4 linked regions of the Rhinolophus ferrumequinum genome follow. The protein of the gene in region 1 interacts with the protein of each later gene in a pairwise test. Links are inferred from orthologs where the notes say so. Each region holds a gene or a part of one and is shown on either strand. Other genes may lie near its edges.

Evidence for each region.
Region 2: the proteins of KPNA2 (region 1) and SERTAD3 interact in binary tests that used the Homo sapiens proteins (3 or more experiments, as listed by UniProt). The two-hybrid records come from large-scale screens. The link is inferred for Rhinolophus ferrumequinum from reciprocal best matches to the Homo sapiens genes KPNA2 and SERTAD3.
Region 3: the proteins of KPNA2 (region 1) and NMNAT1 interact in a two-hybrid assay, tested with the Homo sapiens proteins (3 studies listed by BioGRID and IntAct). The two-hybrid records come from large-scale screens. The link is inferred for Rhinolophus ferrumequinum from reciprocal best matches to the Homo sapiens genes KPNA2 and NMNAT1.
Region 4: the proteins of KPNA2 (region 1) and NECAB2 interact in binary tests that used the Homo sapiens proteins (3 or more experiments, as listed by UniProt). The two-hybrid records come from large-scale screens. The link is inferred for Rhinolophus ferrumequinum from reciprocal best matches to the Homo sapiens genes KPNA2 and NECAB2.

What each region holds. Positions count from the first base shown.
Region 1 is NC_046304.1:43,076,273-43,084,211, reverse strand, and holds the start of KPNA2 (importin subunit alpha-1), read left to right. Parts: upstream 1-4,670; 5' UTR 4,671-4,828; intron 4,829-5,570; exon of another isoform or gene 5,571-5,664; intron 5,665-5,915; 5' UTR 5,916-5,938; coding exon 5,939-6,013; intron 6,014-6,164; coding exon 6,165-6,302; intron 6,303-7,436; coding exon 7,437-7,525; intron 7,526-7,939.
Region 2 is NC_046298.1:39,118,274-39,126,223, forward strand, and holds the start of SERTAD3 (SERTA domain-containing protein 3), read right to left. Parts: upstream 3,381-7,950; 5' UTR 3,261-3,380; intron 2,870-3,260; 5' UTR 2,833-2,869; coding exon 2,797-2,832; intron 1,855-2,796; exon of another isoform or gene 1,585-1,854; intron 1,137-1,584; coding exon 534-1,136; 3' UTR 1-533. Other genes in the region: BLVRB (flavin reductase (NADPH)), read right to left, coding at 6,333-6,493.
Region 3 is NC_046292.1:6,558,848-6,566,722, reverse strand, and holds the start of NMNAT1 (nicotinamide/nicotinic acid mononucleotide adenylyltransferase 1), read right to left. Parts: upstream 3,151-7,875; 5' UTR 3,018-3,150; intron 2,295-3,017; 5' UTR 2,183-2,294; coding exon 2,168-2,182; intron 1-2,167. Other genes in the region: protein LZIC, read left to right, coding at 6,540-6,640, 7,638-7,773.
Region 4 is NC_046298.1:29,518,205-29,526,037, forward strand, and holds the start of NECAB2 (N-terminal EF-hand calcium-binding protein 2), read left to right. Parts: upstream 1-4,384; coding exon 4,385-4,609; intron 4,610-7,166; coding exon 7,167-7,191; intron 7,192-7,305; exon of another isoform or gene 7,306-7,426; coding exon of another isoform or gene 7,427-7,457; intron 7,458-7,833. Other genes in the region: OSGIN1 (oxidative stress-induced growth inhibitor 1), read left to right, coding at 1,589-2,537. UniProt on the Homo sapiens protein: May act as a signaling scaffold protein that senses intracellular calcium.

The sequences.
Region 1 (7,939 bases):
GTTAATGCATCTGGTTTTAAAATTTCAGCACTCCATTCCTAATCTTAAAAAGGGGCGGGGTGAAGGTATTAGTTAAATTTCTCCATTGGTTGCTTAGTTGTTCTTTTTTTAAAATAATTTTTTAATTTTGGAATAATTTCAGCTTCATAAAAAAGTTTCATCGATCGAGCAGAGGGCTCCTGTGTATCCTTCTTCCCGTTGCCTTTAATGTTAACATCTTCCATTGCCATGACATTTGTCACCACTAAGAAATCAACATCGGTACATTAGCAGTAACTCAACTCCAGACTGTACTCTGATTCCACTAGCGTTTCCACTAACGTCCTTTTTCTGTTTTAGCCTCAAATCCAGGATACTACATTGCATTTAGTATTTAGTAGTTTTTAAAGAGTAGGAAGTAACTCAATGATATGTCTCTTGTACAAGTTTTGCAAGAGTTTAAAACTTTTCAAGATAGTCAACTGAACCAGTCTGAAAAGCTTAAACTGATTGTATTTCTTTATTACACTAATTTGCAAATGAAACGCCCACACACCCAAAAACTTTACGTTCTCTAACTACAATTTGTTGTTCATACTAGTTTAGGGACAGAAATCATAAATTATATTTATTATATTTGTGTGTTGTAACAGCACAGCTGCTTTTCTATAAACTCTCTCTAGTACTGGAAAAAAAATGTTTGAAGCCAGCACAGTGGGATCTGCTCACACACCCCTTGGGATAAAAATGGGGAGAAAGTTTTCCATGTGTGGCTGCCATGGTGAAACAGTACGAAACGGAAGACAGAAATATGTCTGGTCGGCTTTTTTCTTTTGAAAGTCAGTAAAAGTTAAGCAAGAAAAATGCTCCTCTTTGGAGTCAGATCTTAGCTCTTTCTCTTGCAAAGTTCCAACTGTAGTGTTTTTAAAACGCGGAGATGCATTTCCTAACTGTAAATACAATGGTTCTCGAGCTCGCTAGAGACGTGAAATAACCACATTTCAGAATCTACCTTTACTGTTTCACTGCCCATCATCGTCTCCCTCTCCACCAAAACAAAACTCCGTGCGACCCAGATGGGACTCGAACCCACAATCCCCAGCTCCGGAGGCTGATGCCTTATCCATTAGGCCACTGGGTCACCACAGGATCCGGGTTCTCGCACCGTCTCCTTACGCGATGCCATCATCGCGCCCCGCCCTTGCGCTCCGCAGCCTCGCATCGGGCGGTGAGTATTTTGGGAGCCACCCCCCCAGCGGCGGCAGCGCGCGCCTGCGCCTTCATACATCCTTGACCCAGACAGCAGGCCCACCCCGGCGCGCGTGCGCGTGGCTCCCCTGCCCCTCTTCCCGGGACTGCGTGGCCCGCACGCGGGCGGCGTTGTGCCTGCCTGCTGGGTTCTTGGAAGGTTCTCTGCTCTCGTTGCATATTAGGCGTTTCTGGGGAACTTCAAACAAAATTCCAATGACTGTACTCCCCCCGTTGTATTTCTTTTTACCTGGGCGAGCCCGGGTGTCTGCATTTTACGAAGCTCCCATGGACCTTCTTCTGCCACCGGCCTTAAGAACCACTAGCAGAGCGTAAGGTCCTCCCGCAACCCCGTCCCCCAACCTTCCCATCCCTTACAGCCACTTCCCTCTCTTTCTTGCCCGCACGTATTCCACGTTCATTAATTTGATAACCTATTACGTACTGTGGACTGTTGGGGGATTCCAGGGTGAACAGCCTTTTCTTTAAATCTGCCCTTCTTACCCCACTCATCTACATCTATTTTCCTCCCCATCTCCTCCTTCCCTCCAGATTAAAGGGAAAATGGATATAACAAGTTTCCTACATATAATACAAAAAATATATGGGTTTCTTTTACATCCTAAAGCTTGGTCTTGGATAGATGTGGAGACTTTCTGGTTCCATGCACAATATCTCTATGCTTGTTGCATGTAAAGATGCTGTATTTGGGGTTTTAAAAATAAAAAATTTCACTTTCTTTTTAGACACGTAATACCTGTTCATTAAAACTGTGTAATATATAGGTAAACCAAATGAAGAAAACTGACCACAATTCTACCATTCAGAGTTAAGCACTATTAACATTTTGGTGTGTATCTTTTAAATCTTAGGTGTCTATGTGTCATATCACTGTTTTGTTAACCTGTGGACCACGAGTCATCGAGTCACCCTGGAAATGTTTTTCATGAAAACTGAGATATTATTAGTAAATAATAATTCATGAATCATTTAGCTCTGATGGTGCAGAAGCAATGGTAGGTAAAACTGACACTTTAGTGAATCTAGGCAGTGGCACCAAACAGGTAACAGTGGTATTTTCACCTTCCTGCACTGGGAATGGCAGGGTGGGGGGAACCAGCTTCACGTAAGAATGTCCTGGACTATGTATAAGAATCATCAGTTGAATTACGTCTTGACTCTTGAGTACATGCTGTAAATATTTTGTGTGACAAATGGGAAATATGCATAATCATTTCTGCATACCAAAATACAGTGGTCTCTGGAGGAAAACATTGGTGCAGTGTTTGAGTTGCAGGCTATACTAGCTACTTTTTCACTGGAACACAGTGTTTACTTGAAAGAATGACTGAGACAAACTAAGATTATTCAGATTTAGGGGTGGCCAGTTGGCTCAGTTGGTTAGAGCGGGGTGCTGATAACACCGAGGTTGTGGGTTGGATCCCTGCATGGACCACTGTGAGCTGCGCCCTCCTTAAAACAAAAACAAAAACAAAAAATTCTGACTTGGTCACATTTGGGTTTGCTTCTCCAGAGCAGCTGCATTCTCAGTGTCACATCATCACAGCACAGGATCACAGCACAGTCCTGTGCCAGAGAGAGGTTATGTCACTCTTAAAGGCCTCAGTAAACATTTTATTGCAGTGTCACTGTGTTAAGGCTTCATCACCAAACCAATCCCTGTGTGTGGCTGTGAGGGGCGGGGGTGGTGTATAGAATATACTGATTGGCCTAGGCCTGAATCTCCAAACTACAGTGGTTAATAGTGGAGGATGTATGGTTCCCCAGGGCAACATTGTACATTTCAAAGGCAACTTTCACTTTTGACTCTGTATTTCTGTTGTAGGTTGTTTTCAGCTACAAGTGCAGAATAGTGGTTGAGAGCATGGATCCTGGAACCAGACAGCCTGGGTCTGAGTCCTGTCTCTGCCTTTATTGGCTGTGTAAACTTGGACAAGTTACTTAACCACTTATGATTCAGTCTTCTGTAAAATGGAACAGGTGATAATACCAGCTTACAGAATTGTGAGGATTAAATGTATTAATATATATAAAACACTTAGAATATGTCTGGGCATATAGTACTTAATATTTGCAAACAAAAGAAAACTCAATTTAGCTGAAACAACAAAAGAAGTGTATTGGATGACGTAATTGCAAAGTCATAATTGCAGCCTTCAGAGGTAGGGCAGGCTGTTGATCAGAGCTTTCCTGGTTTCTCTACAACTGTCCTAGTCAAATTTCTAGGACTTATATCCTTCAGCTCCGAACAGCAAACAGCACCTGCTTTCCCACCTCCAATCATTAAACAAAAGGCATAGCCTTCCAAACTGGATGAATTTAGGTCACATGCCTGCCCCTGAACCATTCACAGTAGTCAAGAGAATACCCTGGGGTGACTGGTTTAGGAGTGAATTCCTTTCATATTTTTGCATTTAGAGGGATGGGATTCTGCTGATTGAGTAGGTGGGAGTAAAATCAACCTCCTATGAATCCCATTGCTGCTACACAATGAGTGAGGCTGGCACAAATGCCTACAAGAATGAACAAAGTTCAATGTTTGAATTTATAGTAAAAAAAAAAAAAATCGCAATATAACTTTTCTAAAAATACCCTTTTTAGAATACAGAAAACTTGCATAAAGAGAGCAAAATGGCCCATAATCCCGGTGCTCTAATAACCATCATTGATACTTTAAAAAATATACGTGGCAAAAATACAAACATTTTATTCAGAAATGTGTAAAATACAGCATAGAACATTACTGGAACGGTTGGCAAAACTTGAACACGGATACACACACACACACACACACACACACAGCAGCAGCAGCAAATAGCAAATGTGGCAAAAATGTTAACATTTGGCAAATCTGTGTAAAGATTTGCAATTCTGTATTTGAAATTATTTAAAAATAAAAGTGTCTAGAGAAACAGGCATAATAAACCTTTCGTTACCATATTTGTGGTTTCTATGCAGTCTTTTATGACGCAAGTTTTTTTAAAAAAATTTTTAAGCCACGCAAATGTGCCATATGCCTCTACTTCGTAACTCCATAACGGCCAGAAACCACTGCCAAGTTTCTTCTGTCCTATCAGGGAAAATATGCATAGCAATATGTTTCTATGTAAACATTTGTGAAGGACATGATTTTGGGAATCATTTGTAGTACTTGGTTAATCAGGGAAACGACCAAGAACTTCAAAAGCACAAATCCTTTCAAAGGCCACAGTCTCAGGCCAAGGCTGGGCTGAGAACCCGTCCTTCGTGCTGCATGCCGGGATTTGAAGTCTTTCCACTCCAAACTGCTAGGCGCTCTGGGATCGCCCGGCCGCTCCCTCATCTCGCGATGCTATCCTCTTTACGGCTAGGCCGTACGACCCCCGCTGCAACGTGTTTTTTAAATCCACCAATGGACGCACATCATAGACTCGAACCAGCCAATCAGAATGCGGGGCCACCGGGAAATTTAAATCGCGCCGGCCGGCTGCTCGAGCCACACTGTCGTCTGGCTGATCCGTGGTGTTCGTTGCCGAGTAGCGGACCCGCAGCCTGTGCTCCCCTGCGCCGTCTCCTGTGGAAGCCTGAGCCGGCTGTGTAGGTACGAACTCAGGTCCCAGCCCGGCCCGAGCGGTAACGGCTGACCTGCAGGCCGCGTTCTGCTTACGGGTGGCGGGAGGCGAGGCTCCGGGTACACGCCCGGCCTGGCTTTGGCCTCCTTGGTTGACTAAGCCTCTGGGGCGTCGTTTGTTGACGAAAGGGCTGTTCCGCGAAGTGAGTAAGTGCTTGGGCTTTAGGCCGCCGAAACTCGGCGAGTTTCATCAAGATCCTTTGCGCATCGGGGCTCGGAAAACAAGAGTGAGGCCGGAGGGTCAAAGTCCCGGGAGGGGGCGGCCGATTAGCTCAGTTGGTTAGCGATCGTGCTGGTATTCCCAAAGTCCCGGAGTGCGCCCAGTACCTCTGGCCCCTCCTGTGGCGGTTACCGGCTGTATCTTCCCCGGGGTGGGGGGCAGGGGAAGGGAATAGAGATGGAGGTGGCAGTTGGAGAAACTATCTCAACACGTAGGCCTTGGGTTGGCTGTGTCAATTTCGTAAACGAACATAAGGGAATAAAGATAAATTGTAAGGCGCTCTTTTACTTTTGTTACCTTTTGGAGATTGCTCATAAGTATCTTAGTCTGAATAATGTCAGCCTAATTAAGTGCATTTACTCGAAATTCCTGGAAATGAAAATGTAATCGAGATTCAGAATTGTGTCGCAAATTTTCAGTGTTGACAAGAAATGTTACGGGAGACTCCATAATGTAATAATAATGAACCAAATTTTTCTTTTATTTTTCAAGTGTGGAGAATGTGCCTATTTTGGCCATTTAAAGACAATAGAGAGAGCCTCCAGAGAATCTGAATGTATTTGCGCCTAGGACATAGATATTGACCGTAAGCTCAGTTCGCCTACTTTGTCTTCAATTAACTATTTACAGACTCTATATAGTGGAGTCTAGAGCCACACTGTCCAGTATATTAGGAAAGGCTTGTGGCTAATCCGAATTTTGAATGCTGTAAGGTTAAAGTACACAAAAGATTTTGGAGAATTAGTATGAAAAAAGTGTGAAATACCTATTAATGCTTTTCTTACTGACAAAGCAAAATGATAAAAGGGACATTTTTTTTCTCTCCCCATCTTATAGCTTTCTCCCTTTGTCTCATAACGATGTCCACCAACGAGAATGCTAATTCACCAGCTGCCCGGCTTAACAGATTCAAGAACAAGGGAAAAGACAGTACAGTGAGTACTTTCTGTTACTTTTGTATAGTATTTTTTGAATGGAAAATTATTTGGGAAGGGGTCAAAACTCTGAGGGAATTTGGAAAAAATGCCCTCACTTTCTAACAAAAACTGAAATGTTAGGTGAAGTGGTATGTTATCTTTTCCCAAGGAAATGAGGCGGCGCCGAATAGAAGTTAATGTAGAGCTGAGGAAAGCTAAGAAAGATGACCAGATGCTGAAAAGGAGAAATGTGAGCTCGTTTCCTGATGATGCTACTTCTCCACTGCAGGAAAATCGCAACAACCAGGTAAATATGTTTTAGCTTATAATTGTTTGAAAATATTCCTACCTTTATGGTTCTACCTATAAAATCTGTGAAGGTTTCCTTTTTGCTCTGAATCAGTAATTCTGATGGGTTTTCTTTCCTACCCATCTTCATAATCTGTTGAAGCTGATTCCAAGGTCTTCTGTAGTTTTGATCTTCAAGTTTCCCTGCGTTTACAGCTGCCAGCTCGGTACCTTGACCTGGCCATTCCAATACCACTGAAAGTGTGTCGGGAACCAATTGCTTTCTGGATTATTTCTACCTTTTGTTATTCTCTATTGTTTGTACTTGTCACCAGTTTTGTTCATGTCTTTTTCTTCTTGAAATACTGTTAGTATTCTTCTAATTTATTTTCCTTTTCATTCTATGCCACATACTATCTACCTAAAAATTTTCCTAAAATACTGCTTTAGACATATTCTTTCTTAGCTTAACAACTTTGATGGTTTTAAATCGCTATTTTCGAAGGCTGTTTTTGTAAATTTGATCCAGCTTAGATTTTCAAAGTTATCTCGTCTTTCAAAGATAATTGGGCACTTAATTGTTTTACATTATGCTTTCTTTTAGTGCTCCCCATTCTATCATTCAAAATTGAATACTACTTATGTGCTATTTCTAGAGTATTCTACTTAAATCCCATCTTCTCAAGTTAACTATAGCATTGTTTCTCAAACCTTTCTACTGTGATCACAACATAAAACATCTTTGCTGCGCTATACTTGGGAATGTGTCGATTACAAGGTTAGATAAGAAAATCCCCAGCACATTATTTATAACTCCATCCCTTGTTCCCTAAAAGCGTATCTGAATACAAGTGATTGAGATTAATGTCGGAATAACCTTCAGACTGCTGTAATTTTTTAAATTGTTCACAGTCACCTTTTTTAGTGACAAAATGCTGGGATACTCTGTAACTTGAGACTCCAGTAAGTCATGACACCAAGTTTGAGAACTGTTCAACATATAAAATAATATTTAATTAACAGGCAAAGTTAAATATAGGGCTAATACACATTTAGTAATTCATTATAAACCTTAAAATGTCTTCACAATGGCAAATAGGAATTTTATTGTTTGTATTTAATCTTACAAAGGATAATTCCATTGTTTTTGTAGGGCACTGTAAATTGGTCTGTTGAGGATATTGTCAAAGGCATAAATAGCAACAATTTGGAAAGCCAGCTCCAAGCTACTCAAGCTGCTAGGTAAGTCTTGTCTGTTATACATGGGTAACCTAAGAACTGAGCCTTTTTAGATTTTTTGGTTGGAAAGAGATAGATGGTGTGGGTAATGGTTAAGCCAGCCATAGTCCTGTGTTCGTTAGAATCTTCCTTTGGTGAAACTAAAATTTTCTGTCATGCCTAAAATCCCACCCACACTCCATGATTATCACTATTAAACTTTTGGTATACTTTAAAGAAAAGATCAAAATTTTTATGAAAGTGGCATTTCAAGTCATTGTCAGGGAAAGGAGAAATTATTCAGTAAATGGGATTGGCACATCCATTTAGAATGGTACATCCATTTAGAAACTAAGTATACTTAGACTTTTATCTCTCACCATACACATCCATAACAGAAAGGATTAATAATTTCTGTAGCCATGTGTTAATCTCCTT
Region 2 (7,950 bases), on another chromosome or scaffold:
TGAATCAGGAGGCTGCTGGGACTGGGGTCCCACCAACAAGGTGGGGTTCTGCCTGGGGGGAGGAGGCCAGCCCCTCCTATTCCCTGGAGGTAAAAGAGGCAGAGCCTGGGTTTCCATAGCAACCAGGCAGTCCACCCCAGTCATCATTTGACAGGCCCAGCTTATCTTCCCTGAGGCCCCAGTGGTCACAAGGGGAGTAGGAACTGGAGGGCAAGACAGAAGAAATGCGGAAGTGGGAAATCAGACTCCCAGAAACAGGGTCTCATTAAGGCATTTGGAACAGATAAATTAATTCAGGAAGACCCACCTTCACAGAAGGCTATGGTAACCAGACACACGCACACATGCAAGACTGTTTGTGGAACCCTGAAATGGGAGGCGAGGAAGAGCCCCCACCAAAACACACAGGAGCGCGCGCGCGCGCACACACACACACACACACACACACACACACACAGGGTTGCACCCTGGGATCCAGCCCACTGAGGCTGAGATGTGAAGGGAGCATCCCCACCCCACCCCAAATCAAAGTTTTAGGATCCCAGAATGATTTCCATGATGTGATCTAGTTCATTCCACTCCCAGGACCCTGGGGCACAGAAGAGGTTGTGTGGAGGCTCCGGTGGGGCCAGTGCAGGCTCCTTCTCCACTGTGGATGTGTCAATGTCCAGAAAAAAGTCATCCAGACCAGAGTCCCCCAGGTATCGGGAGCTCAGAGCTTCTAAGAAGACTGGATCGGGCTGGGGCAGCACTTCATTCTGGGGGCCCAGGGGGGCCACTGGATTCTGAGGGGGCTCAGTCTCATCCATGGAAGTCTCTAGCTCCCTGAGAATAGAGCCGATGGTGGTCGACAGGGAGAAGTCCTCCTCACCCAGGAAGAGAGGCTCAGGGGGCAGGGCAGGTGCTGGAGCCAGACAAAGTGCGGCCTGGAGCTGCTGGAGGGTGTTGTGGATGAGGACATGCCTGCGAAGGCTGGGTGCTCGGGGGCCCAGGCTTCGCTGGACTTTGTCGAGGGAGATGCGCAGCAGGGCTTGCTGGTAGCTTCGAAGGCCTGCCGGACCCCAGTCCCACTTCTCATCTTCCTCTTCCTCCTCCAAGTCTGAGTGTTTTCTCTTCAACCCTCCTACCATGATGCCCTATGAAGAGAAGAGGGAGGGGCACGTCAGACACAGCTTGGCTAGTTCAAATCCAGAATCTCCGATATAGTTGTTGATTTTTAATGGTCTAAACCTCAGGTTTTGCATCTATAAAATGGAAATAGTATGAATCCCACAAGGCTAAGGAGAGTAAACGTATGTATGTGACTACCGTGTTTCCCCGAAAATAAGACCTACCCCGAAAATAAGCCCCCGTTAAGATCTCAGCCAGAAGGACGCATTTAGTACGTTATGACTATGTTCCAGAAGAAGACGACGTCACTGTATTTGAATAAATGTAGATTATTGTACATGAAAAATAAGACATCCTCTGATAATAAGCCCTCATGGAGCAATAATTAATGTAAGACCCGGTCTTATTTTCAGGGAAACACGGTAAGAAAACAAGACCTGACCTTAAACACAGCTGGGTTTGAATCCCACTTACTTGCCTGGGTGGCCTCAAATAGTGAATTTTCCTCCTTGAGACTCAATTCTTCATCTATAAGTTGAGGTCCCTAACCCAAGTCCTCCTGACTCTTAAAATTGTTCTTTCCACAATACTCATTTCAAATGTGACACACACAAGACAGGTGGGGAGTACACAGGCCTGGACTGGAAGCAGGAAATCTTCGGTTTTAATTCTGCCTTTCACAGTGCTCAGCTGTGTGATCTTGGAAAATGATGTGACGTTACCTCTCTGGGCCTGTTTCCTCATCTGTAAAATGGGGATTGTAAAAACTCTCACTGCATCATCAAGGAGACCCCACAGGTAATGCACAGGACCCACCACTCAGGAAATGCTTAATGAACAAGAGTTAATCGCTATTTCTTCATTTGATAGTTTTATTTATTGAGTACTTGCTATATTTGAGCAACTGGAGCCTGTTAGGGCACCTATTTGTCGAGACTCTTTCACAGAGTATATTTCTGGTCATTTCCCTCTTCTTAACTGACTGAAAGCGCTCCCAACAACGGGAGACAGGGCCTCGCATTCCCTCCGCCCGCGCGTTATGCTTCCCCCACACAAGAGCCCCACAGAAAAACTTGCTAGAACTCGATTCACGCCAAGCCCCGCCCCTCCTGACCCATCCAACCAAACCACGGATCTCTACAGGCCCCGCCCCCTCCAGGATCTTCCCTTCAGCAGCCACGCACGCCCCAATTTGGCCCAGGGGCTTGTGGGAAATGTGGGCCAATAGCCACCAGGTACCTACGTTAACTTTGAGCTTGCACTACAATCCCCAGAGAGCTCCGCAAGCCACCGGGACGAACCTCCCCCGCCCTCCCTCAGGGCATGCGCAAAGGACACCGGGGGGGGGAGTGGGGGAAGGGAACCCGGACGTCCAGCTGCCGACGCCGGCCCAGCCCCGCCCTCCGCTGCCTCTAGGGCTGTGAGTCTGAGCTCCGGGCCCGGAACACCCCTCCCCCACCCGACACTGCGGCTCTAACACTGCTTTCTCCCGGTCCTTCAGACCTCAGAAGGTCCTGGATTCTTCCCCCTAACTGCTCTTGGGTCCAGGCCCCAACACATCGCTCAAAGACTACAAATGCTCTCCGATCCACTCCGTTCGGGACAGTAGGTATCTCAATTTTGAGACCTTCCCCCGTCAACTTTCCCCTATATTCCCCCGACTTTCAAACGCCTCTAGACTTTTACCTCTGAACTCCCGCTCCGGCTCCAAGATCTGAACATGGATCTGTCCCCCAGCACCTCCTCTCCGCCACTGCCTCTGGGAAACCAAGATTCCTTGCCCCTAGTCCTCTCGCTTCTCCAAATGCCCGGGATCCTAGCCCCAACAACCTCACACCTTTTCCAGAACACTAGAGAACCGAATTCAAGCCGTCCGGAGACCCGAATTGTCCTAATGTCCAGATTCCCTGCCCTAAAAGTTCCTTCTCTGGATCTCTCAATTCTCCAAATATCCCACGGCCCAGCTTCAAACTCCCTCCACTTGAAGATCTTGCCCCAGCAACTTCGCCTCCTGTCCAGAATCTCGAACTCGGTCTCCGGTCCCCAAACCCTATCAGTCACTTTTAATCTGCGTCCCCCACTCCAGCCCAGACTCCGCCTTCACCTCCCCCAACCCAAGGCAGGTCTCAAGCCCGGCGGCCACCCCTCACCTCAGCTACAAGGTTCACAACGACTACCTCCAGGAACGTCAGCAACTCTGCGACCCTCCAGGGCTGGGTAGGGGCCTTGCTAGCCTCCCGGGGGCCTCTCCTTCTGGCCTGGGACTCACCCAGCTCCACCTCGGAGCCGAGCCGCGAGCAGCGATTGGGTGGAGTCCCGCCCGCCGCAGGGCGCGGATTGGCTGGGCGGAGCCACCAGCCTGTCTCCTGGAGACGGCTGACCCACCCCTCCCTTCCCCGGCGCCCCGACCATTTAAAGGATTCCGACTCTCCAGGGGGCGGGGCCATGTCTGTAGGGTGGAAGGTGGCGGGGACATCAAAACTGTTTCCTTTAAATCAGCTACTGTCCTCGCTCCAAGATCGTCAGCGTTACTCTCTTCGGTCCCTTTATATCAGACCCGGACACGGTCACGGAGCAAGACTGGTGGGCACGCTCCCCCCCATCCCACTTTCTGGGAGGGCGAGGCTAAAACACTCGCGGAGGCCGCGCCCTGGGGGTTCCGAGGGCGGACGCTGCCGGGCGAAGGACTACGCCACTGGAGACCAGCCAGTAGTTTGGCGCGGCGTACGTTGCTTGGGCGACCGCAGCCCGCCCCTCCACCGCCCCAGTCTTGCTCGAGGCCCCCCTCTTAATCTTCAGGACTCCTCAGCGTGTCCTCTGGTGGCAGGTCCGTTCCGCATCCTCCTGACGCTCCATCCTGCCTCTCTCAGGATGGTACCTCCGCTGCTGGAGACTCGTTCATGGCTCCCCACTACCCTGGCGACTAGAAGTGCAAACTTCTCGCTTTCACCTCAAAGCCCTTCACGGTCTGGCCTGATTCAAACTTCCCCCTTGCTCCCTACCATTCTGCCATGCCAGTTCACTTTGTTTTTCTAAAATGGCTTCAAGTGCCCTCCACCATCATGAACATAGAGATTTTATGTTTTCTTCCCTGCCATATCCCCAGTGCCTACAACTATGACAAGTACAGAGAGTACCAAAAATATTATACATTTTAAGACAGGAAAACTTTTAAAATTGTAATACTCAATATATACCAATAACAAAAGATGACTACAAGTCATGTTTGAATTTTGCAATTACAAGAGGTGCTCAAAGTGGTTACCATCAGTGTCCAGACACTTCTAATTACTGTGAACTACTGCTTGAGCAACATTGACCAAAGTGTCCACTTGTATACATTTTTTTGGCACTCCCAGTATATATACTCAAAAATGAGAACAAAAGGGAGTAAATGTACGGTAAGGGATGGAAACTAGACTTTTTTGGTGGTAAGCACACAATAGAGTACACAGATATTGAATTATAATGTTGTACACCTGAAATTTACATGTTAATAGCCAATGTTACCTCAACAAAAGCATTAATTACTGAAAAAGGTTTCTGGACCCTTAAACTTGTTTCCCCATTTTGAAACTACATTAATTCCCAGGCTGCTTCTCCTCAGGACTCAACTCAAAGGTTTCCTCCTCTTGGAAGTTTTCCCTGATACACCAGTATGGGTTGGTTCCCATAGTGTCCTATGCTACCCCATTGAGGAGCCCTGACCCCTCTGTCCATGCTTTGCCCATCCTCAACCTGGGCTGTCACTGTCTGGATTGTGGGCCCCCTGAGGACAAGTACCAAGGTTATCTGTGTCACCCACTGCTTGGTCGGCAGCATCACTTAGCACAGGGCTGGACACAAAGCAGGCAAGCAGTGAAAGCTTGTTAAATGTCCAGACAATATCGCAGAAATAAAGAGGGCACAAATAAAACAGTGCTACTGCCCTGAAAGTCTGAACCACCCCCACAACAAGTTTTCACCAAGAGGAGGGAGAGGCAGTTTTCTCCAGGCTACCCCAGACCAGTTCTCACTAATTGGAATATGTCAGCCAAACCATCCTGTTTGCCGAAGAAGTACAAGATTGGAATGGATTTTGTGGGTGGTGGGGTGTTGGGGGGGTACGTGGGGAGAAGCTGCAGGTAGGAAGAGAGGAGTGGCTCACTCAGGCCTGGGCACAGTGTCTCTGGGGAATAAAGGCAGGGGACAGTAGATTCCAGAGGGACATGATTACGAAGGGGCAATTCTTCCCCCTCCCCCTCCCAAACCTGCCCCTCCTCCAGGGTCCCTCATCTCAGGGAGGACCCACTGTAACCCAGTCCCCAGGTTATAGGCCTAGGCTGCTTCCTGAATACCAACCACCCCTCCCCCATGGACGGTCCACTTAGGTTCTGCCCCACTCTTCCCCTCCTCAAGGCTTCTGCCTGGTCCTCCCGGGCTCCCAGCCTCCATTCTTTTCCCCCTCCCATCCACCTTCACACAGCAGACAAGGGAAGCTTAAAACACAAAGCTGACTGTACCTCCTCCCAACCTCTCCCCTGCTCCAATCCTTGCATAAAACCTCACAATAAAGATTAAACTTTTTACAGTGACTGCACAATTTAGCATCCATGGAACAGCCTCTTGGCTTGACCACACCTCACCTCTGAGAAAAGTATTATTAACTATAGGGGACAGAATTTAGTTCTTCAAACAGGTCAAGTGCTCTCCAGCCTTCTGGCCTTTGCTCATGTGGTTCCTTCTGCCTGGAGTGCCATCATTCCTTAGGACCTTCTCCTGGCTCATTCTTACCAAACCAGGTTTCAGGTGGGGAATCCCCTCTTCAACAGTCTTGTTTGTTCCCTGTGCTGGGTCAGGTACCCTCTCTCGCTTCCCGCAGCCCTCTATGCTTCCTCCATCAGAGCCCTGGTCACTGTGGGTTGTCACCCTCAGGGGCAGGGTTGTCTTCCCCACTGGACTGTGAGATCTGTGAAGGCAAGGCTCATGGCTATCATGGTCACCACTGGTCCCTAGCACATGGCTGGGCGCAGAACAATAACTCAATAAACTGTTACTGAGGAAATGAATGAAGGAATACCCAGAAAATCTTACACAGAGGGCAGACAGAGACACTGAGACACCTAGACAAAGCCAGAGTTAGGTCTTCTAGAATAATTTGAAGTTCTTGGCTCAAGATTTATTGCTTCCTTCCTTTGTTCTCCATTTCCCAGCATGCTGTCCTCCTGGACAGGGGCAGATCCCTAGTCGTACTGGTGGGAAGGGTAGGTATTGTGCCCATCATACTCATCAGTGGTGAGGCAGCGCAGCATGAAGTGGCCCAGATCATGTTTGGAGATGACCCTTGAGGGCCCTCGTCCATCCAGGGTCACTGAGTAGGCTCCAGTCAGTGGCTGGTCTCCTGCTAAGTAAAGACAGAGAGGCTGGGTAAAGCAGATGTCCTTTCCCATCCCCCAACACACGATCACGCCAATGACGGTCCCAGGGGGCCTCAAGTGTGCCCAGACTGAATGGTATAAGAGCCAACGATTAATCTATACCATTTACTGCATTCATCTGACAAATCTTTATTGATGACCTATTATGTGTCAGGTGCTGGGCACCCAACAAGGGACAAAACAGACACGAATCCCTGCATGCAGACATTTGCTAGGTAAAGGCAACTAACAAGGTAAGAAAGTAAAATAGACAATATGTTAGATATAGAGAAATAAAGCAGAGAATGGACTAGAAACTATTTATTAACTCTATTTCACAAATGGGGACACTGAGTCTTGGAGAGGGCAAGTCACTTCCCAGTGGCATAGGCTAGATTTGCTCTGGGTCTCTGTCTGGATGCTTTCCTTTCTCTGGACCCTTCTGGGAAGACTGAGTGACATGTCCCAGGCATGGGCCTGCATTTTATAGGCAGTGGAAGAGCAGACGCATTTTTCTGACCTTGTGAATATGGAGCTGGTGTGTCCTGATGCCACACCTAGGTCTTTCTTAGTGGGGATGGCAGACACGCATGACCTGGCTGTTACAAGGGTATCTACTGGCTGAATTATAATAATTTAAAAACAATACCTGCCAGTGACCAAATTAACTTAGGGGACCAAATTAATTTAGGGATCAAATGCAACAAACCAGTACAGGGACAATCTGGAATCATGTGCAATAAGAAACACATCCTTACCCACGTGGTATTCCTACTAAAAATGATTAATCTGAGTCTGTGAGAAAAACCACCAAAAAAATCCAGAGTGTGGGACATTTAAAAAGACACCAGGCCTGATGAATTTTATGAGAAACATTAAAAAAAAAAAAAAGGATATGGAGGATTGTTCCAGATCAAAGATGACATGGCAACTAACTACAATGCCTGATCCTCAATTGGATCCTGATTTGGTGGGGAGAGGGAGATTGAAATAAACTTTTTGACAATTGGGGAAATTTGAATATGGCACGGACACTAAATGATATGATAGAGTTCATGTCAATTTCCTGGTGCAATAATGGTCCTGTGGCTCACATAAAACTATCTTTCTTCTTGGGAGATGCCTATCTCAATAGGAATCAAGTGTATCAATGTCTGCCACATACTCTCACATGGTTCAGTCAAAAAATACTTTGTGTGTGTGCATGTGTGTGTGTTAGATGCATGCAGAGATAGTTGGTAGCTAGATAGAGCCAGAAAGATAGAAAGTAAACAGGGCAAAATGTTACACCTACATGAAGAGTTTATTCATAAACCTTTAATTCTTTCAACTTTTCTGGAGGTTTCAAAGTTTTCACACATACACATACAGAAAAAAGAAAAACTGGGGTGGCCGGTGGCTCAGGCAGTTGGCGCGCCGTGTTCCTAATGCAGATAGGGCTGCC
Region 3 (7,875 bases), on another chromosome or scaffold:
AAAGTTTGCAGAGCACTACTTTGGAGCACTCTATCAGTCCAGGCGAGAGATAATAAAGGGTAATAACAGGAGGAATGATGCCAAGGGATCAAGTGACTGAATGGAGGAGGTGGGGAGGAGGAGCGGGGAGGACATTTCTGACTTCAGTGACTGGGTAAATGGTGCGCCAACAAAGACAGCACCGGGAAGCACAGGTTGGGAGGTGGGGAGGCAAGGCATAAAAAGACAGACTACTGTTTTACACGTGTTGAATTTAAGGCACACACAGGATATTTAAGTAGAGAGATCTAGTAGGCAAACAGAAATAGACTAGAACCTGACAGTAAAACCCAGAGATACTGAACCCTGGCTTCAATGGGATATCACAGTTAAGTGAAGGTTATTTATTTGATTTGATTTTTTTGAAGACTAGAATTAGAATGTTGGGAGATTGAGAGGACAGCACCATTAGGAAGCCGCAGAAGCTGCAAGAATGTGAATAATTGATGGAGGAAAGTCCTTAAGGAAGCCATAAAGAAAGGATTCTAGGTACAAATTAAGAGGATAACTTAAAAATAATGGGGATATGAAAACACATGTCCACTGAAAGAATTGCATGGTTTGACTTTATACACAGTAGCCAAAAACTGGAAACAACTCAAATGTTAATCAAGAGATGAATGAATGAATAAGCAAAGTTCAAATAGCCTTGTAATGGAATATCATTGAGCAATAAAAAGGAACAAACTACGGATACAAATAACATGAACGAATCTCAGACATTATTTTGAGTGAAAGCAAAATACAGAAAAGTACACACTGTATCGTTCCAGTTGTATGAAATTCTAGAACAGATAATGCAATCTGTAATGACAGAAAGCTGATCAGTGGTTGCCTAGGGTTGGGAAATTGACAGCAGAGGGGCGGAAAGCTTCAGCGTTCCCACTTATGGAATCCTCGTTTTATTCACTCATTCTCTTTGGATGGGCCTATTCCCTATAAATATGTACACATATATCCATTTATGCCTTTTTATCTATAATGATAATAATAAGTGATATTCACTGAATTCTGCCAAGCAATGTGCTAAACACTCATGTAATCCTTACAACACTCCAATGAGGTAGGTACTATTATTATCCCTTTTTTTAATAGATGAGGAAACTGAAGCTCAAAGAGGATGATTAACTTGTTCAAGCTCTCACAGCTCGTGGAACAACCTTGACTCTAAAAGTTCATGCTTAGCCATCACTCAAGACTTACAATGCTATCTTCCAGTAGACATTTACAAGGGATCCACCTGTTCAGAGACCCTTTGGCTCATGGTACTTCTTGTTCGCCACTCAAGGTTCATCTCTGTGGTATTTCCAAAGTATTCCCGTATCTGGTTTCTCAGTGATGACTCCCAGTTCTGAGGTTATTTTCCCCAGTGCTCTCTCCCAGGACTACCTACCTTACACATCATTCCTTTTTCCAAATTCTTCTCTTTTCTCCCTTCCCCACACCCCAAGGTTTGGAGTCTATATTTGCTTGAGAACTGGAACTCAAACCAATTTCTCTTACTTATGCACTAAGGACACTTGTTCATTCTCCATTAACTCTAAACGAGAACCCACAGGCATATAAAAATACCCTCAGCGGGGCAGCCAGTTAGCTCAGTTGGTTAGAGCGCGGTGCTCTTAACAACAAGGTGGCCGGTTTGATCCCCACACGGGCCACTGTGAGCTGCGCCCTCAACCCGATTGAAACAACTACTTGACTTGGAGCTGATGGGTCCCGGAAAAACACACTTAAATAAATAAAAGTTTAAAAAAACAACAACACAGTCAGCACAGGACCGTCGGTTCAGATTAAGTCACTGAGGAAGAAGAGCAAGGACATAAAATGCATGTATGGTGAGGCCCTTCCTCCACAGCTTCAAGGCTGCCCACACTAAAACCAACAAATGCCTGAATAGAACACTGTATTATCATCCTCTAAATTAAGGGAAGTGCACAGTGAGCAAATGTTTATTCATCAAGTTCTTCAAATGGTGAAAGAAGAAAGTATATTTCCCAGTTTTGTTTTGCTTGGCACTGACCCCAACTATCTGTCATTGAGAGTTCCATGTTACTAAAAATGCTGACACTTCCACACACATTCACATATCAAAATTAGAGGTAATCACATTAACATAACCGTCACTTACTTTTACAAAGGGCATCCTGTGACTCTGGAGTGTTTCGCAGGGTAGGCTCCTGGAACTATTCCAACCTGTAAGTCAACAGTCTTTTCTAAATGGGGCTAGAAACAGTGGCTTCACATCCAAATTGTAACTGTGAAAAACAATTTATGGCCATAAGTAAGGAATTTTACAATTATACAGAACTGACAGAAATAATTCATTCTGGCAGAGTTCTACAGTAATGGTAGTTGGAAGTTTGTTCTGGGCCCTTGAAAAAGAATTAGTTTTAAAGGAAACACTTCAAACAATTTTGTTTTAAACCCTAATGTTGTCTTGTGGACTACTGACTCTTCAAGAAAATGGGCTGGGAACACCAGAAAACGGTTTCCACCCAATTTCAAAGTAACTTTTTAAAAAGCGCTGCCCAACGGCTAGTAGTCTCCTTCTCAAAGGGTGTGCGTGTCAAACCGCTTCCAAGCAGGTGGGTTTAATATTTTATAGATTTGGAAAGAGTAATTTCGGAGGAAAAAGTTCAGAATGGAGGACTTCCTCTTCCGCCTCCCACCAGCTCTGCCAAGCTCAAGAAGCCTGTTCTAGAGACGAAAAAAAATTTTTTTTTTATTTATTTTTTTTTACTAAAGTCACCTCTTCCGAAGCCCAGAGGCAAAATTACCGAGGTTTTGGGTTCCACGAAGAGATCGAAAGAATAAAGGGGCAAGCCTTCTCGCCCCAAACTCGAATATGACCTTGACTCGGGGGCCGCTGTATTTGACTTTCAAAGACCCATCATCTCGGCCTCCCTTCTGCTTGCGACCAAAAGGGGTGGTAGACTGACTACCCTACAGACTCGGGGAGTCGGGGTAGGGAGACTTACCCCTTTCTCAGGGTCAACTGGATCGAAGACTACACGCAGCCCGAAAGCCAGCGAGGGGAACACCCGCAGCCTCACCCTCATTGGCTCCAGGAGACCGGAAGTGCCTACTTTCGGCGGAAATGCACCACATTATTGCGTCCGCCAGCTCTGGACCCTCAGGTAGGCGGGGCCCCTGGCTCCGAACTCTGGGGACTGGTGGACAGAGGGTGAGAGAGAACCCCGAGATTCTGAGGAAGTTGTCTAGGTCCTGGTCCGGGAGGACCCGGAAAGTTTGGGGGGCGGCGGGTTTACGGCGACGTCTGGTGGCACCCGGGGCCTAGTCGAGCCCGGCCGCTTCAAGACCCAAATGCGGGAGCTTCAAATTTCTCCCGTGAAGATGGGGTTTGGGGCCGTGGTCAGAGCTGCTCCGTGAGGGCTTCCTGATGGTTGAGGTCCAAACGCTGCTCTCTTCCAGACGGGAAAAGGTGTGCTCTCCGCCCTTATCTTTTCTGTGCTTCTGGATGGTGATAACTTCCCTCGAGGCGTTACAGGTGCGGGGTTTCCCTCAGTTACACTTTCGCCTTTGTAAGAAAAATGTCAGAAAGGCTGCCAGAGGCGCAATCGACAAAGAAAACGGGTTTCTCTCCCTCCTTCCCCACCTGCCCCCTTGATGTCTTCCTGGAAAGAGAGGGGTGTGTTTCAATTGTACGCTGCTCGAGTGGAAGTTATCCGGACCGCTTTAAGCCAAGATTATATATAGTAAATACAACTGCTCGTTAATGGTTTTTCTTTTTCCAGCCAACGCCACGCCCAGGTGGTTTGAACTTTGAGGTTCCTGTAGTTCGGATGAACAGTTTCGCTTTCCTCAAGTTTATGACACTTGGGATTTCAAGAATTGGGGGTTTATGCAATTTGAGACTGGTCAACACTGTGCAGAGTTCAGAGGACGACTAAGAGACAGGTGAGCCTGAATGAGCACCTTGCACTCCAGATGACAGTTTTTAAGAACCATGTCTGCTGTTTCGGTAAAAGATGCACCACCTTTATTGAATACTAGGTGGTGCCAGCGAGTTAATCTTTCAGGGATGAATCTCAATGTAGCATCAGGTGAAGGCTTTTAAAGTGCCTCCATCTGAAATTTATTTAGGAAAGCTTTACCTCCATAAAATATGTTGTGCCTTTATATACTTCATCCAATGGTGGAACATCTATTCAGTGTTAAGTGCTGAGGGAGCTGAGGGTAATCAGATTCGTTTCCTGCTTTCAGAGTGTTTACAGTCTAGAGAGGAAGACAAACAACGAGTTATAATGAACTCACATATAATTCAAGGCAGAAATAAATGCTAAACAAAGATTAAGATATGAAATGCGTGGAAGAAGCAATTTTCATTATTCATTTACCAATTATTTATCCAATACTTTCTGTGCCCAGCTTTGTGCTAGATGCTGCTACTGTACATAGAAAGAAAGAGAAAGCCCTACTCTCAATTTACAATCTAGTGATGATGGTGAACCAAGGAAATCATGGAGAAGGTGAAACTCGAGATAGACTCTGCAGAATGAATGACTTGGGCTTGATAGGTAGAGAAAAATGAGAAGTGTGTGGCATGTTTTGGAACAGCAAGTAGTTCAGCAGTTAGACTTTAGGAATTAATCCTGAAAAGACACTTACAGTTTTATCTTGGGTTTGCTTTAACTTTTACTGGAAAATTCAACAGATTTAAAATAAAATTTAAATATGTATTTCCAGGAGAAATTATACAAGAAACATAACTATCATAAATTACACTTCTGACTAACCTATTATACATGAACCTATTATACCTGAAACATAGCTGTAGTAAGTTACACTTTTGGCAATAATGTAACTCATTTATGTTTACATATCATTAATGATTATAGATGATTAAAGCCAATTTTAAAAGATACGGTAGGAAGAATAGATTTTCATTGATTGTATTCTATTTTGAACAGAATGTAAGAAATCCTATGCATTGACGTTTTCATATCAAATCATCTGATAATGATAATGTGTAGGAAAATTTTAAATGCTTTAATAAGTTACCCTAGGATTTAGATTTTGATGAATGGTTATAGTTAATATTAGACTTACATTTCCTTTCAGGAAACACATTTTGATTAATTTTTATAAGTGGAAAAACATTTGTTTTAAATGCTATAAACGTTAAGGTAAATACATACAATACCAATAACCAAAGTCAGCTTTTCTCTACACCAGCAATAATCAGAAATTGTAATAACAAAAACACTATCCCCAATATAAAAAAAAAAAATAGCTAAGAATAGCCAATGTTCAAAGCCTTTGTGAAAAACAGAATACTTTTCCTTTTAAAGACTATAAAAGAAAATTCAGATAAATGGAGAGGTTTTATTGCTTGATAGAAAGATTCAATTTCAAGGATACAGATTTTTTTCCATATTAGTCTCTAATTTTAATGTAATCCCTGTCAAAATTTCAATTGAATTTTAAAGGAAGCTTGACAGACTGATGCTTAAATTCATCTAGAGAAGAAAAATGCATAAGAATAACCAAGAATTATTGGGGGGGGAACCCACAGTAATAAAAACAACTTCTTATCAGTTATCAGTATATACCAGCTCTAAAGCTATAATAATTAAAATAGTGAGGTAAAGCCTTAGGACCAGAATATTATCAATGAAACAGACTTCAGTCTGTTTGTATTGAATGCATTAAAGGTGGCATAAATAATTACTGACTAGTAAATAGTGTTGGGGCAATTGACTATCAATTTGAAAGAAAAGTCCCCTACTTCACAGCATCAACAAAAAATAGTTGCAGTGGCTTAAAGTTTTCAAATACAAAATAGTATGTTTTTTTAAGTCTTGAGATGGTTCGGACCTGCCTTAATGGGGCACAAAACTAAAAATACTTAAAGAAGATGACAGACAGAATTGGCTAATAAAAATAATAATTTATCATCACAAAAAACACCATAAATAGAATTTAAAGTCAGGAGACAAGATAGTATTTACAGCATAATTACAAAGTCGTCATTTCCATGTTATAGAAATCAGTAAGTGGGAGATAATGCAGTAGAAAAACGAGCACATTTCCAAAGAAGAAATTCATATCAAAAGTTGTTCATGCCTACGAGGCATTAGTTAAATGCACATAAGACTAGCAAGAGTCCTGGAGCATACTTACTAAGAATGAAAAAGAATGTTATAACAAATCTGTGTAAAGCAAAGTCACACCTGATCTGTTTCTTTATGAATCTGTATTTTCGTGTATCAAATTTGTTTAAAGTAAGGTAGACCAATAGTGAAGACTTCTAATCTTTCAAGTCAATTAAGAAGACTGCCAGGCATTTTTGTGGAGTGTTATTACTATGAGTTTAAACTTCTACCTGTAAATTGAGATTTTCTTTGCGCAACTATCTTTCCCACACCTGTAGCTCAGAAAGAGTATAGCCTATTTTAAATTTTACTGGTATGTTGAATCATTTCAAATAACCAAATATATACTGTTATGTGAGTTTGTTGTTCTACTTAGAGATTAAAATGGCTTCCAGAGGAAAGACAGAGACAAGCAAATTAAAGCAGAATTTAGAAGAACAGTTGGATAGACTAATGCAGCAATTACAAGATCTGGAGGAATGCAGGTAATACTACAATTGTATGCTGCTATGCTGTAAAATGGCTTTTTTTCTGCAGCTAGATTATAAACTCCATGGGTGCAGGCCCCTATGTGATTCTGGTTTCCACTGCAGTATTCTTCACAGTGCTTTGTCGGAGAAATAAACTCAAGTGCAGGCTTTGGAGTCAGAAAGGCTGGGATTTAACTACTAAGTGAGTGTGAACTTGGGCAAAATAATTAACCCCCTCACATGTGAAGTGGAAATTATAACCCCTACCTTGTCTTCAGTATTTAAAATAACCCTGCCTTATATCAAGCTGAGAAGGTACTGCTAGAACTTCTGATGTGTTTTCAGCCTTTCCTGCTCAAAGGACCAACACTGTTCATTGCCTTTTTTTAAAAAACAACCTTGGTACATATTACAAATGAAGGGGTCAACGCAATCCTTGGCCCAGAGTAAGTGCTCGATAAATGGTAGCTGTAGTCATTTGTAGTAAATTTTTAATAAATGGCCTGTTTGATGGGTGAATAAAAATAGCCTCTAACTCAGATGACAGGTACTGCATTGCTGTTGTATTTCAAGGTGTACAAAATTTTACCTACCTTTAATGATAAAATAATAACAGCTATTCATCAAGTAGCTATTATATGCCAAGCACTTTCCATATTTCATGTAATGCTCATAGCAACCCTGTAGGATAGGTACTATCATCTGCAGTTTATACATGAAACTGAGGCTTGGCTATGTTAAGTATCTTGCCCAAGGTTATACCATTGATTCACAGACTGCTTAAAAGGAAGTTATTATGTAGTTTGTTAAGTGTGCCTCATTTGGGTGAAATAAAAATGTTGAAGTATCAGAGTAACCACAATGCAGCAAAATGCCCGTACCACTACCATCTGAACACATCCAAGATATTTTTTGTACCTAAGTGTATCAGAAGTCTTAGCGTACAAATACTAAGCTTGCTTTTTTCACTTGGAACCCTATATTTTTTTACATTATGTTCATTGTACTTTAGAGAGGAACTTGATACAGATGAATATGAAGAAACCAAAAAGGAAACTCTGGAGCAACTAAGCGAATTTAATGATTCACTGAAGAAAATAATGTCTGGAAATATGACTTTGGTAGATGAACTAAGTGGAATGCAGCTGGTAAGCCTAATTTACTTACATTGGTGACAGGTTATTTTTATTTATTTGTTTATTTATTTTTGGTAAGCTTAAGCTAGAAAATGTACACTTTTTTTGCATTTA
Region 4 (7,833 bases), on another chromosome or scaffold:
TTCCACCTCTTCAGGAATCACTGTCTATCTCTTTTACACAAAGACTTCTGTCCCTGCACATTTGGTAGGAAAGCATCCAACACATAGTGATGCGTTACCAGACAGACAGGAAATTAAATTTCACTTGTAGACATACCCTTCCATATCCTTCTTTTAATACTCAACATTATGTCATAGCATTTCACTTGGTGATTACGCAGGGTTTGCAACCATCCTTTTACACGGCCATGTAATATGCCCCAGGGAGGGTGAGCATCTGCGTTGCAGGTCTTTGTACTTAGATGTTGGAACCAAAAATTAGACAGATGTGCGCCCTGCCCCTGAGGGGCTGCCACAGTCCCTAAGCCTCTGCCCAGGCCTGGAGCTTTCATTCTTTCCAATGCACCGTTTCTAGGAGTAACCCCATGTGTAACATCTTAGGGCAATCCTTTAAAACAATTTGTACTAAAACAGAGAAGGTGACATGAGAAACCCACAGAAATAAATTCCAGAGTTCCAGTTTCTGTAGCAGACGAATGAGTTGGGCTGGCTGGCGGATGTGATCTGAGTTCACCCTACCATTGGCCGATGGGTCGTGCTGGCGTGTCACTTAGGATTCCCTTTCAGTGAGTTCATCTCTAACAGTACGTTCACCGTTAGGGAAAGTGACTCACCTACGGTCACACAGGTAGATACAGGGAGTCACACAGCTTTCACCTGAGTCATCAGCAGCACTGGCCCACAGTCACTGCCTCGGAAAGGGTGGTGAAAATATTAATATTAATAATAATAATAATAATAATATTAATAATAAAATAGTTCCTGCTGTTACTGTGTGTGCTGGGACTGTGCTAAGTGCTTTACATGGGTTCTTTCTTATCAACTCTTTTACTGAAATATATCATACGTACAGATAAATCACATGTGTACGGGTGGATGAAATTTCTCAAAGTGAACCCATCTGCGTCCAGCCACCCAGACTCAAGAAATCCATCACGTCTCCTCAGGAGCCCCCTCAGACCCCTCCTAATCCCCACCCCCTTCTCCTCCCAAGAGGCAACCACTTTCTTGACCTCTAATTCCACAGGTCAGTTTTGCCTGTTTCTGAACATTATAAAAGGACGATCCCACCATCGTGATGTATGTTATTATTGAATCCTTCGGGGTAATAGTGGCCGGGCCCATACGGCCTGTCAGGTTCTATTCTAAGCTTCGTTTACATCATCACCTAATTCTCTCAGCAACCACACAGCATAGGTACATCACCATCGTCATCCTCATTTTGCAAGTGAGGAAACTGAGGCAGAGAGTTTCAGGAAACAGCTCACCAGTGGCAGAGTCAGGATTTGAACCCAGGCCATCGGCCTCTGGAGGCCCCACTCTCAACACCCCCTCCCCCATAAGATACCATTATCAGCTCCATTTTACAGAAGAGAAGACTTCACCTTCTGAGAAGGTTAAACCACTTGGCCAACTCTTACGGCTGCTGGGTGCACAGTCATCGTGGGCTCCAGGGCCTGACTCCAACCTGGTCACCCCCTGTCCCCCCTGATTGACCCGCCACCCCAGCCGCTATCTGACACCTGCCCTTTTTGCATCCTTCCCCCAGAGGTCTCCGAAACAGCCGGGCCACAGCTGGTGACATTGCTCACTACTACAGGGATTATGTGACCAAGAAGGGCTTGGGCCACAACTTCGTGTCCGGCGCAGTGGTCACGAATGTGGAATGGGGGACGCCCGAGCCCAGCAGCTCTGGGGCCCAGGACCCCAGGCCGCTCTTCCAGGTGAGCGGTTTCCTGACCACCGAGGACCAGTGCCAGCAGCCCTTTTCCCTGTATGCCCACAATGTGGTCCTGGCCACCGGCACATCCGACAGCCCGGCGCGGCTGGGCATCCCTGGGGAGACCCTGCCCTTCATCCACCATGAGCTGTCAGCCCTGGAGGCGGCCACAAGAGCAGGCACAGTGAGCCCGGCCTCGGACCCCGTCCTCATCATCGGCGCGGGGCTGTCAGCGGCAGACGCGGTCCTCTACGCCCGCCATTACAACATCCCCGTGATCCACGCCTTCCGCCGGACCGTGGATGACCCCGGCCTGGTCTTCAACCAGCTGCCCAAGATGCTGTACCCCGAGTACCACAAGGTCCACCAGATGATGCGGGAGCAGTCCATCCTGTCGCCCAGCCCCTACGAGGGCTACCGCAGCCTCCCTGAGCACCAGCCTGTCCTCTTCAAGGAGGACCGCCAGGCCATGTTCCAGGACCCCACAGGCCTCCAGAAGGTCTTCGGCGTCTCCCTAGTGCTAGTCCTCATCGGCTCCCACCCGGACCTCTCCTTCCTCCCGGGGGCAGGTGCTGACCTCGCCATGGACCCCAGCCAGCCACTGAGCGCCAAGAGGAACCCCATTGACGTAGACCCCTTCACCTACCAGAGCACACAGCAGGAGGATCTGTACGCAGTGGGGCCGCTGGCTGGGGACAACTTTGTGCGGTTTGTGCAGGGCGGGGCCCTAGCTGTGGCCAGCTCCCTGCTGAGGAAGGAGGCTAGGAAGCCGCCCTAGCCCTTGGCCTGGCATCCTCGTACCCAGACCCTAAAGAGAAGGGGAGATCATCACAGCCCTGCTGGACACAAGATGCCCCAGTGAGGGAAGGGAGCCTCTCCTGGCAGGAGACAGGAGTGGCCATGAGCCCATGCAACAGGCTTCTCGGATAGAGGAGTGGGAGCCAAGGCTACCCAGACTCAGACCAGTGCCCAGGCTGGGAACAGTGGCTGCAGGTCAGCAAAGGCCCAGACCTGCGATTTGGGGTGAAAGCTGCCAGTGTGAGCAGGGATGACCAGGGCCAGCTGAGCGCTGAGCCAGGAGGACTCCAGGCCCCACTCCTTCTAGAATCAGGTCCCAAATAAAATCAGTGCCTGCCTCCACTCACGTGTCTGAGGATTCTGTGCTTGGGGAGGGACCGACTGCCCAGGAGCCTGTTCTAGGAGCCAGGCAGAAGCACAGGGCCAGGTGGGAGGAGGTCCTTGGGGTGGGGCTTGGGGGACAACCGATGATGCTCCAAGTGTGGCAAATGAGAAGGCAGCTGCCGTTTCCCTGAAAATAAGACCTAGCCGGACAATCAGCTCTTATGCGTCTTTTGGAGCAAAAATTAATGTAAGATCCAGTATTATATTATTTATATTATATAAGATCCCGTCTTATAGTAAAATAAGACCGGGTCTTATATTAATTTTTGCTCCAAAAGACGCATTAGAGCTGATTGTCCGGCTAGGTCTTATTTCCCGGGAAACACGGTATGCTAGAGAAGTGAGGGGAGCGTGTGTATGAGGAATGAAGTGCTGAGGAGGCTTTCCAAGCCCCCTCCCATTCTCCCTTGCAACACGTTGTCTTAGCCCCTCATGCTCATGCTTCACCTGCCACAGGGCCTTTGCACAATCAGGTCTCTAGCCCACTTTTCCCTCCTCTCTTTAACTCTTCCCCTTTCTTCCACTCTCTCAGCATAAGAGTTACTTCCCCCAGGAAGCGTCTTCTGACACAAACCCCTCCTTAGGCACCAGGGCAAATTACCAGCTCATGGCCCAAGGTGTCATCTCTTCATAGCAGTTCGGTTTTAATGATTCATTTATTTGTGGAATCTGTATCTAGCTCTACCCATTGGGCTGTAAGCTCCAAGAGGCCAAGGACCCTGTCTGTTTTGCCCATTATTGGGACCCAGAGCCTAGCACCTAACTGCGCGCCTTAACTAATCTGTTGGAGTGTGTGGGGAAGGGGGAGTTCTGGGGCGAAGACTGGTTCTGGGCGTTGTGTAATGGGAGGGAAGGTCTGAGGGGGCGTAACGCCCGCAGGAGGGAAGGATGGGTGCCCGTGGGAATTGTGGTGGAAGCCCATCGCACGGGCACGGATCACCCGAGCTGGAGCCGGCAGAGGGAGCTCCGAGCTCGCTGGACATTGCGCTCTGGCCCCTGCGGCGGTGCCGCGGGTCAGGTGGGGTGATTTTAGGTGGGGGCAGCGGGAGACTTTCGTGGGGGAAGCCCCCAGGGACGCCCCCCGGCAGGCAGACCCTCCCACCAACCCCGTGTCTACTGGGCAGCCCCTCCCTGGCCGGGGTCTAGACCCCAAATCTGCGCCCCCGCGGGCAGCCTCCTGCTGCCGCTCTCAGCCGCGGTAGGGGGCGGGGGGGGTGCGGTGGACACGGAGCACGTGGCTCGGGGTCCGGGCGGAGCGCACCCCCCCTCCCCCGCGACCGGTCCCCCGGCGCCGGCCCGTCTCCTCCGTGGCCGCGGCCGCGGGGGCAGAGGGAGGGAGGGCGGGGCGGCGCGGGCAGCGGCGCCGGGGAGGGGTCGCGCGGGGGCGGACGGGCGGGGGTCGGCGGGCTTCCGGGCGGCGGTGGCGGTGGCGGGTGCGGCGCGATGTGCGAGCGGGCGGCGCGCCTGTGCAGGGCCGGCGCGCACAGGCTGCTCCGGGAGCCGCCGCCGCAGGGCCGGGCGCTGGGCGGGCTGCTGCGCTGGGTAGGCGCCAGAATGGGCGAGCCCCGGGCGCCGCTGGCCCCCGACGTCCCCGCCGCCCCCGCCGTGGACCCTGGCCCCTGTCCCGGCCCCGCCTCGCTGCGCGGGGGCACTGCTGTCATCCTGGACGTGAGTACGCGCCCGCCGGGACCCCAAGCCCCCTCCTCCCACGGGGAACCCCGACGCCGCCCTACCTCGTTCCCGCCGGAACCCGCGAGGACCCCACCCCACCCCGAGCAGGGGACCCCCGACGCATCCCTCTGGGCAGCTCGGAGCTGGAACCGCACCCGGCCTCTCTTAAGTCCCAGAACGCGAGCCCCAAGCCTTCCCACGTCCCGGCCAGTCTCATTCCCGGACCAAGACGACCCCCACTCCTTCCTCCACCTTCTCGGAGCCGGGATTCTGGAGACCCCTTGGCCGGCCACCGCCCCCTACTTTTGTCCTGGTCCGACCCTCATCTTGCCCCAGCCCTGCACCTACCCTTTTCCCCTCATCCCTTCCCAGGACGAGAGCCCCTGACTGCCTCCAGCCCCCTGAGCCTCTCCTTCCCAGGTCCCTGCTGAGTTGCTACTTTTCAGAGACCACCTTCCCCTTCCTCGCTAGACTCTGAACCCTTGTAGTCTCATCCCTAATCAAAGACCTATTCTCCCTGCCCCCCCCTTTGAAAGTGAAGTCCCCTCCCCACCTCTGTCTTTCCTTCTCGTTTCCAGAGTGTTGGAACCACCCCCATCCGCCCTGAGCCTGGACCCCTAGGTTCCCCTTCACCACCCCCACTCCATTCTGAGCCCCCTCTGTCCTCCATTCCCTTCCCCACCTCCACCCTCTCTACTCACCCCCTCCCTCATCCTCTCTGGAAACCAAACTGCCCACCTCTGGGAAGCCCACCTCACCCTCCCACCCACTCCCCAAATGGGAGGGAGATTTCCCTGGTGGATTGCAGGGTGTGGGGGACTCCGGTGGAGTGCTAGGCGGTGGAGGGGCTTTCTCTCCTCCCCCTGCCCCATGACAGCATGGTGGTGGGATGTGCATGTCCCAGTGTGGTGGGTGGCGAGGAGATGGGGGTGCCTAGAATGTTCATGATGGCTTTCTGGGAGGGGAGTGTGTGTGTGTGTGTGTGTGTGTGTGTGTGTGTGTGTACGTGTACAGCACATCCCTGTAAGTGTGGGGGAGCTTGGATTACCTCTCTCTCCTTCCCTTCTCTCCTGGAACCCATAGCTGGCTTTGGGCAGAGAGCAATGGGTAGAGAAGGTGGAGCTGTGCTGGGTGTGTTTCAGGTTCTGGTGCCTCCAAACACACACTCGTGCATACACAGCCCAACACACAATGGACTCTCTCTCTCAAGACCCTAGCAAGCAGAGTTCACCGCTGAAAGCCCTGGGCCCATGGGGTCTGCAGACCTAGGCCTGCCGTTGTAGGGAACCCCCATCCAGACCCCTCCTGATTCTCTCCTCTAACAGTACAGGAGGTGGGCTCCAGGTTCCTAGCGTGCCATGTGAGGGCTCTGAGCCTCCATTACCTCATCTGTGAAATGGGGTGACGAGCCGAGATGGGGACTCACAGTGCTCACGCAGACTCCTAGAGCCATACATGTGGTCACGTTATTCACAGGCCCAGAGCTCACACCTGAGGGTGGGGTGCCTAGACGGGGGCTTTGAGGAGGTCCTAGGGTGCTCTGATAACTGCTCCCCTTTCTGCCCCAGCCACAGAGGCTCCTGCCTAGTACCCCAACCCCCGGGTTCAGCTAAGGAAGGGGGTGATGTCTAAGAAGGCCTCCTGAGCTGCTGCTTTGGTTTGTCACAGCCCCTGGTGCCTGATAATGGATGCCCGCACCATTGCTTGAAGGGATGGGGTGGGGGGGTATCTGTCCTTTACCCCAGGGACAGACCAAAGGTGGGATGGTCAGAGGTGGTGGTGTCTCCCCGTCTCCTATCAGCAAGGCTTACGGAATCCCAGAATACCAGGAGGGGGAGTTATCTGGTCTCTAAGCTCAGGCTAGGGTTGGGGAGTAGGGGCAGTGGCTGTCCTTCCCCCATCCCTGCCTGGTTTTCTGAGCTCCTGGAGACCTGCTTCTTCCCATTCCCTCACCCCCTAAAAAATCGAATCCTGCCCATGGCTGGTCCAGTTGCCAAACCTCCAGATTCCCTTAGCAGACACCTCCATTCAGACTTAACCCGATCTCCCTACAGAAAACCAGGGCCCTCAAGGGGTTCTGGGAGGGGTGCAGTGGTGTAAGGCATATGGCTGTGTCCACGGGACACAAATTCGGAGTGCGTCACTGAGCGTACGACTGGGTGAAGCGCGTGAACCGATGGCTCTGGGAGCATGTGGAACCAATGATTCTGGGAGCAAGCATGTGGATGGATGTGAGCGAGTGTCCACATGCGTGTGCATGTGTCTGTCGGCATGGCTGTGGGCAGGCTGGCGGCACAGAAGGGAGAGTGGGCGGCTGTTTCCGTGAGGGTGGCTCTTTCCATGAGGGTGGCTAGGAGCGCCTCTGCCTGAAACATCCCTTCCTCACCCCTGGATCCCAGCCAGATGGGGGTCTCCTCCCTGGGAAGGAAGAAGGAGGGAGCTCTGCTTCCCAGGCCCACCTGGGGGGAGTGGGATCTCAGTATCAGGTCAGGATCTGCTGCAGGCGCCTGCTCCCTGGCCCAGGGCCGCCTTGACCGACTTCTCTTCTCTGCAGATTTTCCGTCGTGCGGACAAAAATGGTGAGTTTCCCTCCCACACTGTCCCCTGAATGAGAAGCTGGCTCTCTATCCTGAGTCTTCAGGGGAACAGATCAGGGGCAGGGACTGGACAACCTGAACCTAAAGGTTTAGAGTGCAGATCTCTGAAGTCTGAAGGCCAAATTCTGACTCTGCTCCGTGCCTCAGTTTCCCCTCTGTACAATGGGACTCCCAGAGTTCCTACCTAGTGACAATGCCATGAGGATTCAGTGAGTTGATGTCTGTGATGCCAAGATGTCTTGCCCACGGTAAGTGCTTGGTGTGCTTTAATCCTTATGCAGCTGGGCTGGACCAGCCCCGCCTCACTCGAGGCCCTTCGCAGGCCCTGGCACACTTCCTCATCATAGTCACCTGATGCAGTCAACTCCGTAGTGGCCCAGAGAGGTTAACTGACTTGCCCAGGGTAGCCCAGCTGCGAGAAGGAAATTGAGGCTGTGCCTCAGACCCCGGCCCTTTTCCCCACGTCACACAGCCTCCCCAACAATGTGAGCGGCACATTATTTTGCCATGAATTCATGACGCTCCACTTCTCACTGCTTGGAAAGGCTCTGTCTTGCACGAGGAAGGCCGGAGTCCTGCAGATAACCAAATTTACCGAGGCCCACCTGAGCCTTGCAAGTGTAA